4 linked regions of the Schizosaccharomyces pombe genome follow. The protein of the gene in region 2 interacts with the protein of the main gene of each other region in a biochemical or structural test. Each region holds a gene or a part of one and is shown on either strand. Other genes may lie near its edges.

Region 1 (3,544 bases), on a different chromosome or scaffold from region 2:
ATTGCATTTATGACCTTCTTTCAATTCTTTTATAGTTGACTTGTTAGGATGACAACATATATTTTGGGTTTTATGATTCCTGACATTGTTTAGATATGCCGGAATTTGGAAAAGGATCTTGGGGACACAGAGCCAAGATTTCATTCCTCTTTTTTTAAGTCTTTGAGGTTCCTTCTAATCCATTCCTAACCTTTTTCTTTACGTTAACAAAGATAATGCAGTTGATGCATTTGCAACGAAATTGCCGTTGAGTTGCATGCTATTGTAATTATTTGGTAATGTCTTGGCGATTTAAAATCGCTTATCGATGAGAAGAGCTCAAATGAAAGTTCTTAATCTAATGACTTTAAAAACTATATATGAAAATAATTAATTATTTATTATTTAAAATGCATACTGTATCGTCTTTGTAAATGATCTTTATTGTTCGATCTCATCATCAATTTTTCAACGTAGTATTTTTAAAATGGGTTTCTTACTGTTGTAAGTGAACATCTGTTCAATGTTTATACTTTACAACGCCTTGAATTTGTAAATATTTAAGACGTTTACTCTATTCTGTAAACAACTTTGACTGAGAATTATAGTATTGCTAAAGAAGCATAATAATCTAAGTTATGTGTTCAAGATTTTTGTATGACAGGTTATAGTAAAAATTCGATACGCAATTCATACAAACTTTTTTTGGTAGATTAAGCATTGTAAAAATAGCAAGTAGGAAAAGAAATGTAATAGTATGCATTTATAAAATTCGAAATACAGATGCAAGGAATGAAGACGATAAAACAAAATGTGTAAAAGGAATCTTTAGTCAAACTCGTAATTGCGTTCGACAAAACGAAAGAAGGGAGGAAACAAGGATCAGTTTTAATTTTAAGTATGCTCATCAAAAAGAATCGAGTGTCATGCTACTAGTAACGTTGGAACCGCTGACAATATCTTTGAACTCTTCAAAGCTAATTTTTCCATCGCGATCCTTATCAACTTCCATAATGGTTTTGTCAACAATCTAGTTATAATAGGAGTCAGATTTTGAGATAAGAGGTTTTGTCTATAACATACCTGCTGCAATTGATCTTCCCGAAGATTCGTGCCAACCATCATTTTCAGAACTAGATAAAGTTCTCCGTTTGAAATATAACCATCACGGTCAATATCATAAATCTTGAAGGCAACTAGATAAAACAATAATGTTAGAACATAATTTGCAAAGGAACGACAAGTTGATTGAGCTTACACTTCAGCTTTTCCTCTTTATTGCCATGCACTGAAAATACAGAAAGGCTATTAATAAATTCTTGAAAGTCCACATCTCCTCCACCGTCTTCGTCTACAACTGAAAACAGTCTGGAAGCAAGTGGGTTAGAAGCTACACTGGGAATCGACAAAAATTCGTTTCGGTCAATAGAGCCAGATTGGTTAGCATCTATTTTAATAAAACGCTTGCGAATTCTTTCTATCTCCTCATTGGAAACTAGATACAATGAACGTTAGCCGAGTCGCTTTGAGGTGCTAATACTTTTGCATTGTGCATGTGAAACCGGCAACTTTGATGAATTGGCTATAATCTTAAAAAGAAATAGACGACAAGAGATGTAAGTATTCTAACATGAAAAAATATAATGATAAGAACACTTTTGGCCACACGTACTAAGCATCAAACTTACAGGATGAATTTGAGATCAAGTCCTCAAAGATTTGCGACTGCGACTGACCCATGAGAGGGAAACACAATAATATGAAATGAGTAAGGTTCAATTAACAAACCAAGAATATAACGGTCAGCTACCTTTCAAAGAAAATTCCTTATATCGGTGGTGGTAGTTTGAGTCAAAATCCTTCTGAATGTAAGGGTCGAATGTCACTTGGCACACTTTGTCTTCCACCAATCTCAAAGATAATCGTGGAATCCGTAAATTTCAAAAAATGACTTGAAAACATGTTGGGTTGTGCAAAAAAATAGCTATGAAAATTATCTGTAAGCTTGTAATTGAAAATTCAACTGCAATGGCAGCTTTTCATTTTTAGAAAGGATGCATCAAACGAAAATCCGGCTTAAAAACGACAAAGAATTGAGGTTTAGAGCAATTCATAATTGCTTTGGAGATGGCTGTTTCTGCATCTTGGATTTTTAAAGGCGAGGTTTTGTAATTTTTCAAAACTAAATACCTTTAACCTTTATTCTTTCTGATGACCAAATTTTTTTTAAACTGCTTTAGCAGTTTTATGCTGATTAAGCTTTACCATATGAGCTTAAGATTATGAAGGAAGCAAAATCTGAGAATGAGCAATTTTTCGACATGTTTGGTAAGTATTTGAAAGGACTTTCGAATATTTGAAAGATTGCAATTCATGTTTTTAAATCAAATTTTAATCTTCCTGAAAAGGGCTTGGTTTCTGGAAAAAGCAAATGTGGAACGTTGAAAATGTTTGTCTACAACTTGCTTCGTTTTGAAAAAGACATTCATTTTTCTCACCCTATACTATGCGCAGTTGGCATAGATAATTGATGAGATACGGAAAACATCTTCGTTAGTGGAAAAAAATGTAGAATTTATTCCGCTGTTTACTTCTATGTTCCACCTGGCTCTGCTGCGAACAGTTTATTATTCTAACAGAAATGCCTATTCATGGTCTATAACACGCATTGAAAGTAAAAATCAAGTGCTTTTTTCTGCTACTAGAGACTACGAATACTAGCAGATCATGACTTTTCTTTTGAATTAGTAATGCTTTTTTTCTATTGAGTATTGACGAGGGTTTTCCGACGTCAATAAGATGAACTATGATAGAACTTGATTCCTTATAATTCACTATGGAGTTTTATGGACTTCACTTCAACTGATGGTTGACAATTTCCTCTTTTGTTTCTCCTGCCATCGGTTTCTTCCATTGTTTACACCTGGAATCTCCAGTAAATATCGCTACAATACGTTGTATATTAACGGTACGAGCGTATTAGAAAATTATTTTTGGTTACGTTGCTCCTCGGTAAATTATCGCAGTGAAGAGGTTTATGAAAAATTTCATTCGGTTTGTTAACCCCTAGTGGTTTGACACACCAACGACGACGGCCGTCAACTACGCCAGGATTTAGCGCCTGTTTCTACAAGATTTTGAGTGAGACGAGTATCTTATAATTTTACGGTTGGATAGATTTAAGTGATTGGAGTCCAACGATACCAATATTATCATGAGTTCCGTCTCCAAAAATGCTAGGGCATATCGTCAACGGAAGGTCGGTATTAAAACCGTTATGCCGATTTATTTCGAACGTGATATACCTGACTTTGATGAAGAAGCTTCACTTCAGCGGACAGTTCCCTTGGTGGAATCTGGTGTTGAAAAAGAAGAGGAAGAGGTAAGTGCGAACCCGAGAATGTGAAAGATAATGAAAAGTACGAAAAACCTTGGCTTCTTGATGGATTTCGTTGACAAAAATAAACACTCTTTTTAAAGGTGCTTAATCACCGTTTTACAATGTATACGAAGGGTTATGCGGAAAATTATGATTTGAGCGGAGTTGCATCGAATTTCTGAATTT
Region 2 (4,386 bases):
CTAATCCAATAGAAAGATCCATAACTGAATCGTTCGGATAGATAAGTGTTTTGACTATTTCCTGTGCTTCACATACTTCTGTATAAGGAACGTTTATAGCAACAAAATTCCATTTTCGAGCAGGGCAAACTGAAATAAGCTCCTGCCAGCCTTGTAATCCAGTTTGTCTATCAGGACATACGTCGTATGCATCAAAATTGTCAGGAAGAAGTCCCGTCTCTCTGTCACGGTATGTCTCTGTAAATCTTGGGTTTTCAAAAGCCACATTAATTAAATCGATGGACTCGTTATTGGGAACTATGTCGTGCATTAGCCGTGCTAATACACCGCAATCCACTCCCCCAGAGTAAAGAACGCAAACTCGGCTATAATGACTACAGTCAAGGTTTGAAGAGCACAGTTTGGGGATTGTTAAAACTCTATCTTGAAGCGCTTTGATAAGATATGTATGCAATGTGTCCACAGTGTCTGAAGAGATTGAGCCCATGAGAAAGGACTCATCCACAGGAGGAAGAGGGTTTGTTTTTTCCAGTTGCATTAATGATTTAGAGAAGTTAATTTTTGGGATCAAGTCCACCTGCACACTATGAAACCCAGGCTCAACTTCTCGGAAATCACTAGAATTTCCTACACTTGAGAGAACGAAATTACTATCTCGTAAACTATACAAAAGGGATCTTCTTCCTAAGCGATCTCTTCCCCACCACAATGTGTTTGTACGAACTTGGTAGTAAACAAAAGCAAAAGGTCCTTGAATACTTCCCAAAATTTTTTCAATGTCGCCCGGGTTATTGTTTAAAAGTTCAAAAAGTTTTGCACCGTCGTTTTCATTACGATTGAGCGTAAATTTGTGATGATCGCTATGGTTTATTTGCCAAATTTCTCCATTCCAACACAAAACGTTTCCAAAACTGTCAACATGAGGTTGAGGCGTTAAATGATCAGAAGGGCCACGTAAATGCAAAACGCTTGACTCAAAGTGCAAATTCCAAGGTCCGCTATTCAATTTATGCTTACCAAAAAAATCAGGTCCTCTAGCCCGAATCCTTTTTCGTAAAGCTGAAAAAGATGGACTTTCAAGAAGATTATCTCTGTCTTCCGCTAAGGCGAAAAGAATTCCGCACATAAACTATTCTCAAACACTTTTGCTTCTAACAAATCTACAGTCAAAAAAGTGTTTTTTCCTTTAACGACGTTTGTGTGGTACAGTGTGATCGTAATTTTATATACAATATCATTTTGCGACACATTGCAACGCTTATAAGTAACTACACACTGAACAGACTCACGGGTCTACATATTTTTTCTTATACAATTATACTTACAACTGGTAAAGAATTTTCTTAGGTCAATCTGTAGCTTGAAAGCCAAAATTAGGTTTCTATTTATGAAACAATAAGCGAAATGCTGTATGCCTGACAAAGCATAATGGGGTAGTTAATGACATTTAAAGAGCTGTAACAATACAGTAAGCATTAATAACGCGCTCCACAATAATCTACTGCCAAAGTATAAAAAAAATAAATTATAAAAAGATATTGTACCATATTATGAAATCGCAACATATAAAATTGTCCAACAAATAACATTGATTTCGTTTGGAACATTTTCTGCATAGGAATGGCTTAATTCACTTTAATTACTAATATATTCGCATTTTTTTACTTTCTGCTGGTATACAAACATTGAATACGTACTCTCTAAGTATTCGTTAAAGGTACAATGTTACCTATTATGAGGCTGGTTTCTATAACAACGAATGTTTGTTTATATTTTGGAATATACACTTAAACAAAGCCAACACTTATTAGCTAAAACACTTTGGATAAAGCAAATATTACTGCTTTCTAAATAATAACTACTTGCTTACAATTGCATTTTTTTAATACAGCTAGTTTTTTTGGGGGACTCCGCTCTTTGAGATATATATCCTTACGTTGGCAACAATTTTCTATAAGTTAATCCCAGCTTGATTTTTGTTTTTCCTTCCTTATCCTTCTCTTCCTATTTTTTATCTTGTTTTTAAGTGTTGCGGCTAGATTTATACCCTGCGAGCTTGGCTATCCTGATTTCTTAAGGTTGTCAACGATCCTGAATTCTTTCCGTTGATTAGTGTCCTGATAGTTGAGAAGCATATCAGCAAATGCATTCACCAATTCCAGAATTACCAAGGTAATCTATTGTCTTATTGTTATTACCCAATTAGGTATCTAACTTCGTTTTTGTAGATTTGAACGTCGATTGACTGGTCCTCGTGCTGCTCCTTCTTCGCCGGTCTCTACTAATGGCTCCCCGCTAAACAATTTAGTTCGTTCTCGGTTATCTGATGGAGCACTTAACTTTACTGGAGGTCGAATAGCTACACCATTACCGCAACCAAGTTTGAAGACTCCTGAATCTCCTTTGTCCAAGAGGAATCCAACAATAAAACAAAATCGTGTACGTTTTGATCTGCCTGATGACGAGCTCTCTCGTTCTAATGTTTCGTCGCCGGAAAAAACACTACTAACCTCTGCTTCTACTTCTACTTTCGATAGCTTAAAAAAGGAGCTTTTACCTGAATTGCCATCTCTTGCATACAGTGACGACGATGAGTTTCCTAGTTCGCCGGAGGAATTGAATTCACATGTTAATTATCCAGACGTACGAAATGTTTACGATTGTCATACCGGTTTACAGCCGCTTGTTGATCATGATTGCATTGAAGACAGACAAAAAACCTTCGCATCCAAACAACTTCCTACTCTTCCTTTACAGAAATCCAGTAAACTTTCCAATCGTAGACCCGCTTTGCATTCTTTTCATTCTGCTCCTGCTAATAGCTTATATCCTTTGCCCACCCCCACTTCACAATTGCCTAGCAACTTGTCCTCAAATAATTTATTTCAATCAGATTCACTTAAGCCTTCAATGGTATCTTCTCATACATCTACAAAACCAGTTCTTTATAGAGGCAATTCTGAAAAATCCTGTCATAGTTGCGGCGGTTCTTTACGCGCTGGCAGAATAATTAGTGCTTCAGGAAAGAAATTACACCCTCAATGCTTCAAATGCGATACTTGTTCCCAGAACTTAGAGCACGTTGGATTTTATTACCGCGAGGGAAAATTTTATTGTCATCTAGACTATCATGAACAGTTCAGTCCTCGCTGTAAGCACTGCAAAACCCCAATTGAAGACCAAGCGGTCCATATCAACAATGATTGGTTTCATGAAAATCATCATTTTTGCGCTGGTTGCTCTGAAGTTTTTAATGTAAATATACCCTGTATTTACCGTGACGACCTATACTGGTGTCAGACTTGTTATGATAATAAGTATGCTGTTAAGTGCAAGAAATGCCGTAAACCCATTTTGGGGATCAGTGTAAAAGGGTCTGATGGTGAATATCATAGCCAATGTTGGACCTGCGGAGCTTGTAATGCCCTACTTGGAGATGAGGGTTATTTTATGATAGAAAATACCCCTATTTGCCGTCCTTGCAAGGCGATATCAGTCAAGTTTAATTTGGATTAACTCAGACTTACTCATCACTTTCTTTTTCTTTTTTTTTTGTTATTTTTTCACTTCTTTCATCGATTTTAGCTTTATAAGGAAAGCTGTCTTGGAAATCTTGGAGATTTTAAATCATTTCATTTAATCCACAAAGTCCAGCATGTTTACTTGCATTTAAACTTGCTGTATTTTTATAATTAAGCAATTAATGATTAGGTAACTATAGATATATAAAAAGCACTATTGAATTTCAACGGTTACGATTTTTGATATCACGTAATACTTAAATACTTTAGATAACTTACCAAAAAATAAAAAATAAAAACATATTCAGTTTGCACAAATGCATTTTAAACTTTCGAAAACCCCTATATTCCTATTAAATATCCAAAATCAAGTACGAAAACAATCTTTTCGACTTGTTAGCAAAACTATAATACAGCATTGAAAAAGTATCTTTTGCAGTAAACACTACCAAACATTATTTTTAAAAGTAGAGTTTTTCTAAATTTTAAAGCAAGTGAAGAAAACAAAAATATTTAAGACGTTTCAAACCTTTTTCAAGTCCACATCCGAATTTCTCCACCAGCACCTGCACTGAATAACCAGGCTTCTTTTGGATGCCAGCATGTGGATAAAACACCGACATTATCAACCACTTTATGATTCCGCAAAATCTTAAGAGGAACAATCAAGGGATTAGCCAGAAGGTCACTGTAAACACGACCGTGGAACACTTGAACATCACCATCATCAGAGCCAGAGCAAAATAGTGGAAGGGAAGGATGATATGAGACATCGCGAAGAGCACGTGAATGATATCGAAGATTTTTATATGGTTTAGAAGAAAAGTCTAAGTCGAACCAACATAGCCTTTTATCATAGGAACCT
Region 3 (5,838 bases), on a different chromosome or scaffold from region 2:
GACATTGAACTCTCTTATATCAAACATCGATGTTGGGGATAGGATAATATGAGAAATGATGGAAAGTTGCGGTAAAGGATTTCTCCAAAGAACCCAGAGAAAGTCCAACGTAAAATTAGTTTGCCTTAACTTGTAAGCATTTGTAAAGATTGTGAAGAACAGTACAAGACTAGGTGTACCCGTTATCATAAATTTAGGATTATCGAACATAGAAAGCATAGCTTCCCAATTTAGGTTTTCAAAAGAGGAAACGATAGCTTTACCCATCAAAACAGTGTCCCAAGCACCATAATCATGTATAGCTACAAGTGAATTTATAAGATAAGCAACATCAGTCTCAGTAGCCGTTCCCGGGGGATATTTTTTAAGAATTGCTTCTTTCATAGACTTAAGTGTAGCTTTGGAAGCTTTCATCGGACCAAACAAAGCTGTAAGAGGGCGTGAATTCGCCAACTTTTTCTCAATTATAGCATCAAACTTTGGAACTTTAATCAAGGGTATTCTGTCATAGTCGGTGGTAAACAAACCTTCCCTGAGCAAATCCAAATCGTTTTTATCAATACTTTGTTGCTGAGTAGGATCGGATAGTTGGTTTAAAAGAGATTGGAATGTGTTTTTAAGCAAAGCAGAAGCTTTCTTTGCTAAAGTAGGTTTAACAGAAGTGGTAAGTCCAATTAAAAGGTTAGTCCTTTCTAACGGGGAGAATTGGAAATGGTCTAAAAATGCCTCTATATCGAAATCTTCAAATACTTCAGAATCAGAACCTGAAATAGCATCACTAAAACGTTTCGCCATGACCCAAGACTTCGTGAGAGATTTTAATTCATCTAGTAGTAATTTATAAGTAGCTAGTCCATCAGAAGATTTACCGGTACCAAAAATACGGTATGAATTTCCTTGAATTAGACGGCGAAGAAAATGGTGGTATACTCTGGGTGCATTTTTGTTGATAAGTTGACGAATCTGTTCAAGTTTCGTATCATATTGGTCTTCCCGTAAGGTCGACAATAAGAAAAGGATTTGTGCTTTAACAATACTTTCAATTTTTGAATCGTTTGGTGGAGGGGTCTTAGAATCTAGTGATATAGGATGCCCAGATTCAGAAGTTGAACTAGATTTCTCTCGTGTCTCCGGCGTTTGTTGTTCTTGGCTCTTCATATTTTTAACGCTTTTCTATTACCATGCCTTTGTGAGGCTATTATTATACTCCTATGCTATTTTCAGCTGATATATTCTTTGAATATTTACAGATGAGATGCAGCAGTATCTGCTAGCAAGTTTGAATGAAAATAGGTGCAGTGGTGTTTTGCAAAAGATATGTCGGTCCTCCTCACTGCCAGGCAGTCTAAGAAAGGATCGAACATTAAATTTAACGAGACTGTATCTTTCGTAAACTTTTTTAACAAAATTTAAGGATAGAGTTAATTTGCAGTTGCTTATTGTGCACTCAGATAGGCAACGGTTGCTAGGGACGGTTGTCACCGCAGTAGTCGCAGTAAACAAACATGTTTACTCTTTTCCTGAAATCGACTACCAGGAATTTACCAACAACAAATCACAAATTTTGCTGCATTTTGTTCTTTCAATAACAAAATGGAGGTTAATGGAGTCTCTCAATCTGAAGCGGCTCCGTACGTTACCAAATCTTCTGTTAAGTTCCGCGATAATTTCTGGGTATGTGTAAATTTGCTGTATTTAGTAAAGCAAAGTTATGTTAACAAAATCGTTGCAGGGATCTGAAGATGCGGGTATGGATGCTCTTATGTCCCGAACAAAATCTTCTCTTTCCGTATTAGAATCAATTGATGAATTTTACGCAAAGCGGTAAGTATGGTTGCCTCGTTTGGAAGTTGCAGCTCTACCTTAAGCGCTACGATGATTCAAGAAATATGTTTTTGGTCGTTTCATTGTCATTTAAGATGTTTTACAGATAATCGTGGATTCTTAAGATAGCTTGTGTAATGAACCGAAGGGTTCGGTATGATTATTGATTAAAGTCTGACTAACTAAATTAGTGCTTCTATTGAGCGTGAGTACGCATCTAAACTGCAAGAGTTAGCTGCCAGCTCAGCAGACATCCCAGAAGTTGGATCAACTTTAAATAATATTTTATCTATGAGAACTGAAACAGGGAGTATGGCCAAAGCGCATGAAGAAGTCTCACAACAGATAAATACCGAATTGCGAAATAAAATTCGCGAGTACATTGATCAGACGGAGCAACAGAAAGTTGTTGCAGCCAATGCCATTGAGGAATTATATCAGAAAAAAACGGCTCTCGAAATAGACTTATCCGAGAAGAAGGATGCCTACGAGTACAGTTGTAACAAGCTGAATAGCTACATGAGACAGACAAAAAAGATGACTGGTCGTGAATTAGACAAATACAATTTAAAAATCCGTCAAGCAGCGCTAGCAGTAAAAAAAATGGATGCGGAATACAGAGAAACAAACGAATTACTTCTTACAGTTACTCGGGAATGGATTGATCGTTGGACAGAGGTCTGTGATGCTTTTCAACATATTGAGGAATATCGTTTAGAGTTTCTCAAAACAAACATGTGGGCCTATGCAAATATAATATCTACTGCTTGTGTAAAAGATGATGAATCTTGTGAAAAGATTCGACTCACACTCGAAAACACTAACATTGATGAAGATATTACTCAAATGATTCAAAACGAAGGTACCGGAACTACAATTCCCCCTTTACCCGAGTTTAATGACTATTTCAAAGAAAACGGATTAAATTATGACATCGACCAGCTCATTTCTAAAGCTCCTTCTTATCCATACTCCTCTTCGCGTCCCTCAGCTTCTGCATCTTTGGCAAGTTCGCCAACACGTAGCGCTTTTCGCCCCAAAACTAGTGAAACAGTTTCATCGGAAGTTGTATCATCACCACCTACTTCACCATTGCATTCACCAGTTAAGCCAGTGTCTAATGAACAAGTTGAACAAGTTACAGAGGTTGAACTTTCTATTCCCGTTCCTTCTATACAAGAAGCTGAATCCCAGAAACCAGTACTTACAGGGAGCTCAATGCGTCGACCTTCTGTAACATCACCAACTTTTGAAGTAGCTGCTCGTCCTTTGACTTCAATGGATGTTAGATCCTCTCATAATGCCGAGACTGAGGTACAGGCTATACCCGCTGCAACAGATATATCACCCGAAGTTAAGGAAGGTAAAAATAGTGAGAATGCTATCACGAAAGATAATGATGATATTATTTTGAGTAGTCAACTTCAACCTACTGCTACCGGAAGTCGGTCATCTAGGTTGTCTTTCTCTCGACATGGACACGGGTCTCAAACTAGTTTGGGATCTATCAAACGAAAATCAATAATGGAGCGTATGGGGAGACCCACTTCTCCCTTCATGGGTTCTAGTTTCTCTAATATGGGTAGCCGAAGTACCTCACCTACTAAAGAAGGATTTGCTAGCAATCAACATGCCACAGGCGCGTCTGTCCAGTCTGATGAGTTAGAAGATATTGACCCCAGAGCTAACGTTGTTTTAAACGTTGGACCCAACATGCTTTCTGTTGGAGAGGCACCAGTGGAATCCACATCCAAAGAAGAAGACAAAGATGTACCCGATCCCATCGCTAATGCAATGGCTGAATTAAGTTCGTCAATGAGAAGACGCCAATCGACATCAGTTGACGATGAAGCGCCTGTTTCTCTTAGTAAGACGTCTTCTTCTACAAGATTAAATGGCTTGGGCTATCACTCTCGAAATACTTCTATAGCTAGTGATATAGATGGCGTTCCCAAAAAGAGTACCTTAGGAGCTCCTCCAGCCGCACACACTTCTGCTCAAATGCAACGCATGAGTAATAGTTTTGCTTCCCAAACAAAGCAGGTGTTCGGAGAGCAACGAACCGAAAATTCAGCTAGAGAATCCCTTCGTCATAGTCGAAGCAATATGAGTAGATCTCCTTCTCCAATGTTATCGAGAAGAAGCTCCACCTTGCGCCCAAGCTTTGAGAGGTCTGCATCTTCTCTTAGTGTACGCCAATCTGATGTCGTTTCGCCAGCACCTTCTACAAGGGCTCGTGGGCAATCAGTGTCTGGTCAACAAAGGCCATCTTCATCTATGTCGTTGTATGGTGAGTACAACAAATCTCAACCTCAGTTGTCTATGCAACGTTCTGTTTCTCCCAATCCGTTAGGCCCTAATCGTAGATCGTCATCAGTCTTACAGTCACAGAAATCTACTTCATCTAACACATCAAACCGAAACAATGGTGGTTATAGTGGATCGAGACCAAGTTCAGAAATGGGTCACAGATATGGGTCTATGAGTGGAAGGTCCATGAGGCAAGTTTCCCAAAGATCCACCAGTCGCGCACGGTCACCAGAGCCGACTAATAGAAATAGCGTTCAATCAAAGAATGTCGATCCACGAGCTACTTTTACGGCTGAAGGAGAGCCAATTTTAGGATATGGTAAGTTCATTAAAGAGAAACTTTAAAAATTTTTAATTTTACTAATTATAATTCAGTTATCGCACTTTATGATTATCAAGCTCAAATACCTGAAGAAATTAGCTTCCAAAAGGGCGATACATTAATGGTTCTTCGCACACAAGAAGATGGATGGTGGGATGGTGAAATTATTAATGTTCCAAATTCAAAACGTGGTTTATTCCCGTCGAACTTTGTTCAGACGGTATAGACACTGATTACCCTCTTTTCTAGATGTTTACACTTGCATTCTTTTTCGCGTGGTTACTATCTCTTACTAATCCGTAATTCCTTATTTTTTTTTTGATGACTTAACGCGAAACGACATGCTTTTTTTTTTTAAATTCATTTCTCGTCATGGTCTAAGCTTCGTTGCATTGCATAGGTATTTATACGCATTTATTTTGATATCTAAAGATTTCTGTTTTAAAGGAAATACACATAGAATCTAGTTGATTGGAATATATTTTATTTTATTTTATTAACAATGTTTGACTCCTTTGTCCTTTGGCTATTGTAAGACGTAAGAATAACACTAATTGTTTTTGAAGATTTCGTGCATTTCAAAGTTTCATATGATTTTTACATCAATTTCAAAACCGATTTTAGTAAATTAAAATCAAGGTACGATTTGGTATGTAGCTTTGACAAGATATAGCTAAATTGCTAATTTTTATCAGTAACTAGAGGATAAAGTTGAATAAACCAAAAATATAACACGATGATGAATTTGCCTGCTCAAAAATATGATATCCGCAGATGTAGGATTCTGAGCTTTACTTTTTAAAAAGAAGCCGACCGATAATTACCAGAAAATGCATTTGTGGATAAGGTATGTTTGAAGAGTGCAAACCCAGATTTTTTGTTTGGCTATAGATACAGTGTGCATCAACTAGCTTGTAAACATGAGTGTTAGGAGATATGAATAGATGCTTATAAAATGATCTGATTGAAAAGAAGTCTCGCTAGCCTGAACAGATAAGATTATTGATTGAGGTATAAAAAGACATAAGACCCTGATTTTGCAAAAACACATGCGTGCCTTTATATTTACATACCTACTTAGTGAAAAAGCTACAGATTTTGTTATTTGCTTTAACGATACAATGAACTGCGGTGAGTTTCGCTTATGAGCTGTTTATTCTATGATACTTTTGAATAATAGAGGTAACAGTTGCTATATATATTGTTATATGTAGGTACTGTTGTAATTTGTCGCTGAGAAAGAACTGAAGAACGAGGATCTATTTATCGTGTATTATTCTTAATAGCTTATATTTTATTGTATTGTTAGCAAGATCTATCTCATGTTCGTATTATCATGACACGATGTGCAAATTGAATGAATGAATGAATAATGATATGTA
Region 4 (4,663 bases), 160 kb from region 2:
ATCCTTGGCAGTTATGTAGCTGATGAATCGGGTGTTAGAGACTTATGTAGTACCTCTGATAAAAAAGCAGTGCTTGATGCTTTTCAATTTGAGCCAATTGGGTTCTCGTCGAATATGATTTACAAGGACCGCTATGCCACAATCCATGTTACGCCTCAAGAACATTGTTCTTATGCTTCATTTGAAACAAATGTTTCGCAATTCCAATTCGGAAGATCCATATCTGAAACAATCGAAAAAACTGTTAAAACTTTTGGTGCAAACAAATTTTGTCTTACCCTTTTCCAGGCTAAAGGTGCGTCTCAAGAGAAGCATTTCTCGGCCAAACTTAAATCTTTTAGCTCTTATAAGCGTGAAGAATTTATAGTGTATGACTTTCCTGGATATGATCTTATATTTGCCAGCTTTACTGCAGTATAAGTTCGGAGAACAGTCAGCTAGATATTTTAAATTATCTGTTGCTATATTTATTATCATTCTTTTTTACGGTGGAGCGTGCCATGCGAATACCCCTTTTTACAATCTTTCATTATGCAAAAAGTAGTCGTCTTTTGTTTGCTTGTTTTATAAAAGGTTTCATAGTTATGAATACCAAAAAGTTTATTATGAATATCTAAATGCAATGCTTATGTATCTAGTCATCGGTTATCTTGTATTATGCTAAAGTAAACTCATTTGCTTTCTTTATTTTGAGTGTTTAGATATTTGTTGTAAGTATGCTTAAAACCTCGGATCAGGTTTATGCTCATTGAAAAATTCCAACTAAAAAACGAATATGCGCAGGTTTTGGTATCTACAAAGAGCTTTTCTTATCTGCAAAGCGTTCTACCAAATGATCGATAGAGGTATCATCTTCAGACGAATTCATTACTTCTTCGAAAGCCTTTAAATCCGTAGAACGTCGACGGCTATTAGATGGCGGTAAACGTTCATTTTGGATATCCAGCTTACGAGCATCATCGAAGGAATTGATAGCATTTTTGATACCCTCAGCTCCCAACATTAAAGTACCCGCAGGTAATCTTTGCGTACCTGACACGTTTTTCAGTTCCGAAACACTTTCCCGTTCTTCTCTAAGCACACTGAATACTCGAGAGATACGGCCAATAGCCATAATCTTGTTTTTAATAATTTGCCTACGAGCTTCAATATCAATTTCTTGGTCGGCTTTATTTTCATTCTCAGATGGAGCAGGCTGTTTATGCTGAGTCGGAGCCGATTCTTTCAAATCCGTTTCATAAAGCTCCTCCTTAGAACATATATTGAGCATTGAAATCAACATTTCAGAAACTTTTTCGCCCACAAATGGAAGACTCCAAGTAAAAACATCCATAAAGTTAGGAAGCCAGTAAGGATGAGGGGAACAATTAAATTGTCTTATATTCATTACATTATTTTCGTATTTCAAAACAGCAGCTTTATTATTGTAAACATCCAAATAGTTGGGTGCTGAAAATATGGTCATCAAAGATGGAAACCCGGTTGTTTTAGTTTTGCGATACATTCGATAGCCCACATCTTGAGCTTCATGAGCACGAATAACGGAGAGGAGATTATTGTTTTCTAAGAAGGTGCAAACAGCTTGGTAACTATAAAAGTAAGAACAGCCACGAACATTATTATGAATAAAATGCTTGTTTGATTTTTCCGATCCAAAATCTTCAAGGGGATCAGACCAGAGTAAATCACACATCAACCCATGAGTTGGAGGCTCACAAAAACGATTGATCATTCGTATATCATTCAAAGTATGTAGTTCGGGTGATAATCCACCATGTACACATAAAAATTGCTTATTCATAATAGCTGCCAAAGGAAGGGCATTAAAAGATTGTAAACAAGCTTCATAAACTTTAATATTATACTTATGAGTACATTCTAACTTGAAGGTAAAATAGTCAGTAAGATGAGCGCATTCGTGATTGCCACGAAGCAACCAAAGCGTTTTCGGATACCATATTTTCAAAGCCCACAAGTACAATAAACACTCAATTGAGAAATATCCTCGATCCACGTAATCTCCAAGGAAAAGATATTGGGTATTTGCTGGATTACCTCCAACTTCAAATAGTTTCATAAGATCATAATATTGGCCGTGAATGTCACCGCATACTAAGCTGTCAGACCGAAGAATATTGCAATACAAACAAAATATCGACCCAAATTAAAATGAAGGAAAAACATAGTCATAAATTACATTTCAAAGTTCTAATATTTTACCTTATAGTAATTAGGGCCTAAATATGAAAGGTGATAATCAACATACCAGTGACAGGTGCATCCACCTCAATCAAGTTGTCTTCTGACTTCAAAATTTCTGTAGCCTTTTTTATAATATACAACGTTTGTTCCTCAGATAAACGGCCTTCCCGAATGAAATGATTGCGAAGAAAATGCAAGTCAGGTTTATCAGGTTCATTAATATCAAAAAACTCCACGTCCGTCGGAATATAAGTTGCTGGTGCTTGAACATCTTTGATTGTTAATAAGACTAATTTCTTTCAAAAATATCCGTACTTTTCACTACTCTATCCAGTGTGCTAACACTAGAGCCATCTTCTTGAACAAATATTGTAAAATCATGAGAAGGAGCTTGATTTTTTTGGCGAATTGCTCGAACTATTGGGTCTTCTAAATTATGAGGACCCGAAGTCATATTAGTAACTTTTGCAAGCCTATATACAGCCTGGGTAAAATGCTAGATATTCTTGCAAAAAGTTTTGGTAGATTCTGGTTTGTTATACTTACATCGTCCCGGCGGTTTTGGAAAATGGTTTAACGAAAAGCAAAGAAATTCGTAATTGCTTTTCTCAATGAACCATGTGAACAAAAAACATATCTGTTTACAATTCTAAGTACTTTTTTTTTTTTTTATAATATAGATATATTTCATCATAATCTTTACTTCTGTATATTTAAAAATTTACAAACAATCGCCGCTTAGACAAACATATCTTAATAACCAATCGTGTTAGTAATAAGAAATGAACTTGTAGAAAGGGAACCCAAATACTACCTGAATTCCTTCCTAATTATATTGCCTTGCTCATTTTTGAGAGAAGCAAACTAAGTTGATTTGATGAAACTTACATTCCATGATTACCTAACTGAAATAACGATAGTTTTATTGATAAAATAAATATCCATAAAACACTTTAAGAGTTAATAATCATTTTATTTTTTGTTTAGACGGCTACGTCAAATTTTAGGTTATTGTAAATATTCTTTGATTTCTCATCGCTTTCCGTAGTAAAGAATTAGACAAAAGCGATTTTTAGAAAGAATAAGCAAAATAAATGTAAATTTGGGTATTTTATTAGAAGTAAAGGAAATAGAAAAGAGTGTTGCAAGTGTGAAGATATATGCAAAAACTAAAACATATGTAAAATTATGGGATAAAGCCAAAGGAAAGAAATGAATAATGCAACAAATGTAAAAAATTAACCATATCTTACAAACTTTTATGCTCTCAATAGGACATTGGAACACTTCTAAGAAAGAGAATTCCAAAGCACACAAAAAAGCTTAATCTTTCTTCTCGGTGGGTTTGGTAACAGAAGAGGACTTGTCATTTTGAGAATTATCAGATAGCGTAGTAGCTTTGGTAATTGTACTATTATTAGTAGGTTTTTGCTCATTGTTTGTATCGGTTTTAAGGAAACGTGTAGCATCTAGTATTTCAGAGGCTTGTGGGTATTTACCTTTTTCTTGAACCCCATGGACAATATCGGTAAATGACTTAACAAACGATTCATTTTGAGCGTTCGGTACTGGCATAGCAGATGGGACTTCTGGTAAGCCAAGTTTATGCCTTATGGTGGATGAACGCAAAAATGCCCCTTGAAATACACTGAAGACATTGCTAGGAAACCAATACATAAAAATTGCCATAGGAAAATTCATAGTGAATAGTGGACTGGCAAGGCAAAGAAATCTAAAAAATTTTTTCATTGAGGGAGACATAGCAACCTTATTACTTCCAGTTTCGCTACCAAGCTCTATATTGAGCAGCATAAGAAGGCCGTTTGCAACCGGAAATATGTGTAGAGGATCAGGCTGGGATAAATCATTAACCCACCAAAAACCACCATCAGTGAAACCCTCTACAGGTACACCCGCCATTGTCTTCAACGCGTAAAAAAAGCTAATAAACAGAATTCCCTGAAATACAGGAGCAGAAAGCAAATTCAAAGGGTTAACATTGTTAACTTTATAAAGGTTTTGGATTTGAGTGGTAGCTTGCATCATTAATTCGCTGTTTCCTTCAGCCTTTGCTTTACTCAACACACTCATGTGTTCAGCAACCTTTGGGTTAATGATAGCGAGCTTTGCGGACGTTTTCATCATCTTTAACATAATAGGAAATACTGCAATTCTCATAGCAACAGCACATGCAGCAATTGAAGCCCACCAAGGAAGGCCGCTCCAAATATGAAGCGTATTAAGGCCGTTTTGGAGGATATTATGAGGTAAGAAAGAAAAAGATGCTAAGACGGAGGACGACAATGGCAGACTAGGAGTGTAAACCACTTTCTCGGACCTAGATTTGGGGAAAGAAGTCGAAGAGTTGTGAATTTTTATTAAGGAAGAAGTACGCTGATTTCGGCCAAGCTTAGCAAAAGAGAAATTCTTAAAAAATGTATTATGTGTGTGGATCTGGCGA

The links.
Region 1: the proteins of pxl1 (region 2) and cnb1 form a complex in vitro, tested with the Schizosaccharomyces pombe proteins (one study listed by BioGRID).
Region 3: the proteins of pxl1 (region 2) and cdc15 form a complex in vitro, tested with the Schizosaccharomyces pombe proteins (4 studies listed by BioGRID, with this or other methods).
Region 4: the proteins of pxl1 (region 2) and ppb1 form a complex in vitro, tested with the Schizosaccharomyces pombe proteins (one study listed by BioGRID).

The regions. Positions count from the first base shown.
Region 1 is NC_003421.2:2,190,379-2,193,922, reverse strand, and holds cnb1 (calcineurin regulatory subunit B), read right to left. Parts: upstream 1,833-3,544; 5' UTR 1,720-1,832; coding exon 1,668-1,719; exon of another isoform or gene 1,475-1,667; coding exon 1,238-1,474; exon of another isoform or gene 1,177-1,237; intron 1,176-1,176; coding exon 1,063-1,175; intron 1,010-1,062; coding exon 887-1,009; 3' UTR 545-886; downstream 1-544. Other genes in the region: NuA4 histone acetyltransferase core complex-Piccolo HAT module linker protein Epl1, read left to right, coding at 3,194-3,361. UniProt on the Schizosaccharomyces pombe protein: Regulatory subunit of calcineurin, a calcium-dependent, calmodulin stimulated protein phosphatase. Confers calcium sensitivity.
Region 2 is NC_003423.3:2,710,369-2,714,754, forward strand, and holds pxl1 (paxillin-like protein Pxl1), read left to right. Parts: upstream 1-1,799; 5' UTR 1,800-2,143; coding exon 2,144-2,172; intron 2,173-2,228; coding exon 2,229-3,516; 3' UTR 3,517-3,839; downstream 3,840-4,386. Other genes in the region: asn2 (asparagine synthase), read right to left, coding at 1-1,126; erb1 (WD repeat/BOP1NT protein), read right to left, coding at 4,056-4,386.
Region 3 is NC_003424.3:1,398,642-1,404,479, reverse strand, and holds cdc15 (F-BAR domain protein Cdc15), read left to right. Parts: upstream 1-1,543; 5' UTR 1,544-1,593; coding exon 1,594-1,674; intron 1,675-1,732; coding exon 1,733-1,824; intron 1,825-2,000; exon of another isoform or gene 2,001-2,015; coding exon 2,016-4,453; exon of another isoform or gene 4,454-4,464; intron 4,465-4,509; coding exon 4,510-4,682; 3' UTR 4,683-5,280; downstream 5,281-5,838. Other genes in the region: CCR4-Not complex subunit Not1, read right to left, coding at 1-1,158. UniProt on the Schizosaccharomyces pombe protein: After the onset of mitosis, forms a ring-like structure which colocalizes with the medial actin ring. Appears to mediate cytoskeletal rearrangements required for cytokinesis. Essential for viability.
Region 4 is NC_003423.3:2,871,990-2,876,652, reverse strand, and holds ppb1 (calcium-dependent serine/threonine protein phosphatase calcineurin catalytic subunit Ppb1), read right to left. Parts: upstream 2,732-4,663; 5' UTR 2,657-2,731; coding exon 2,518-2,656; exon of another isoform or gene 2,474-2,517; coding exon 2,267-2,473; exon of another isoform or gene 2,113-2,266; coding exon 794-2,112; 3' UTR 544-793; downstream 1-543. Other genes in the region: S-adenosylmethionine decarboxylase proenzyme Spe2, read left to right, coding at 1-420; oxa102 (translocase Oxa101), read right to left, coding at 3,526-4,663. UniProt on the Schizosaccharomyces pombe protein: Calcium-dependent, calmodulin-stimulated protein phosphatase. This subunit may have a role in the calmodulin activation of calcineurin. Appears to be involved in cytokinesis, mating, transport, nuclear and spindle pole body positioning, and cell shape.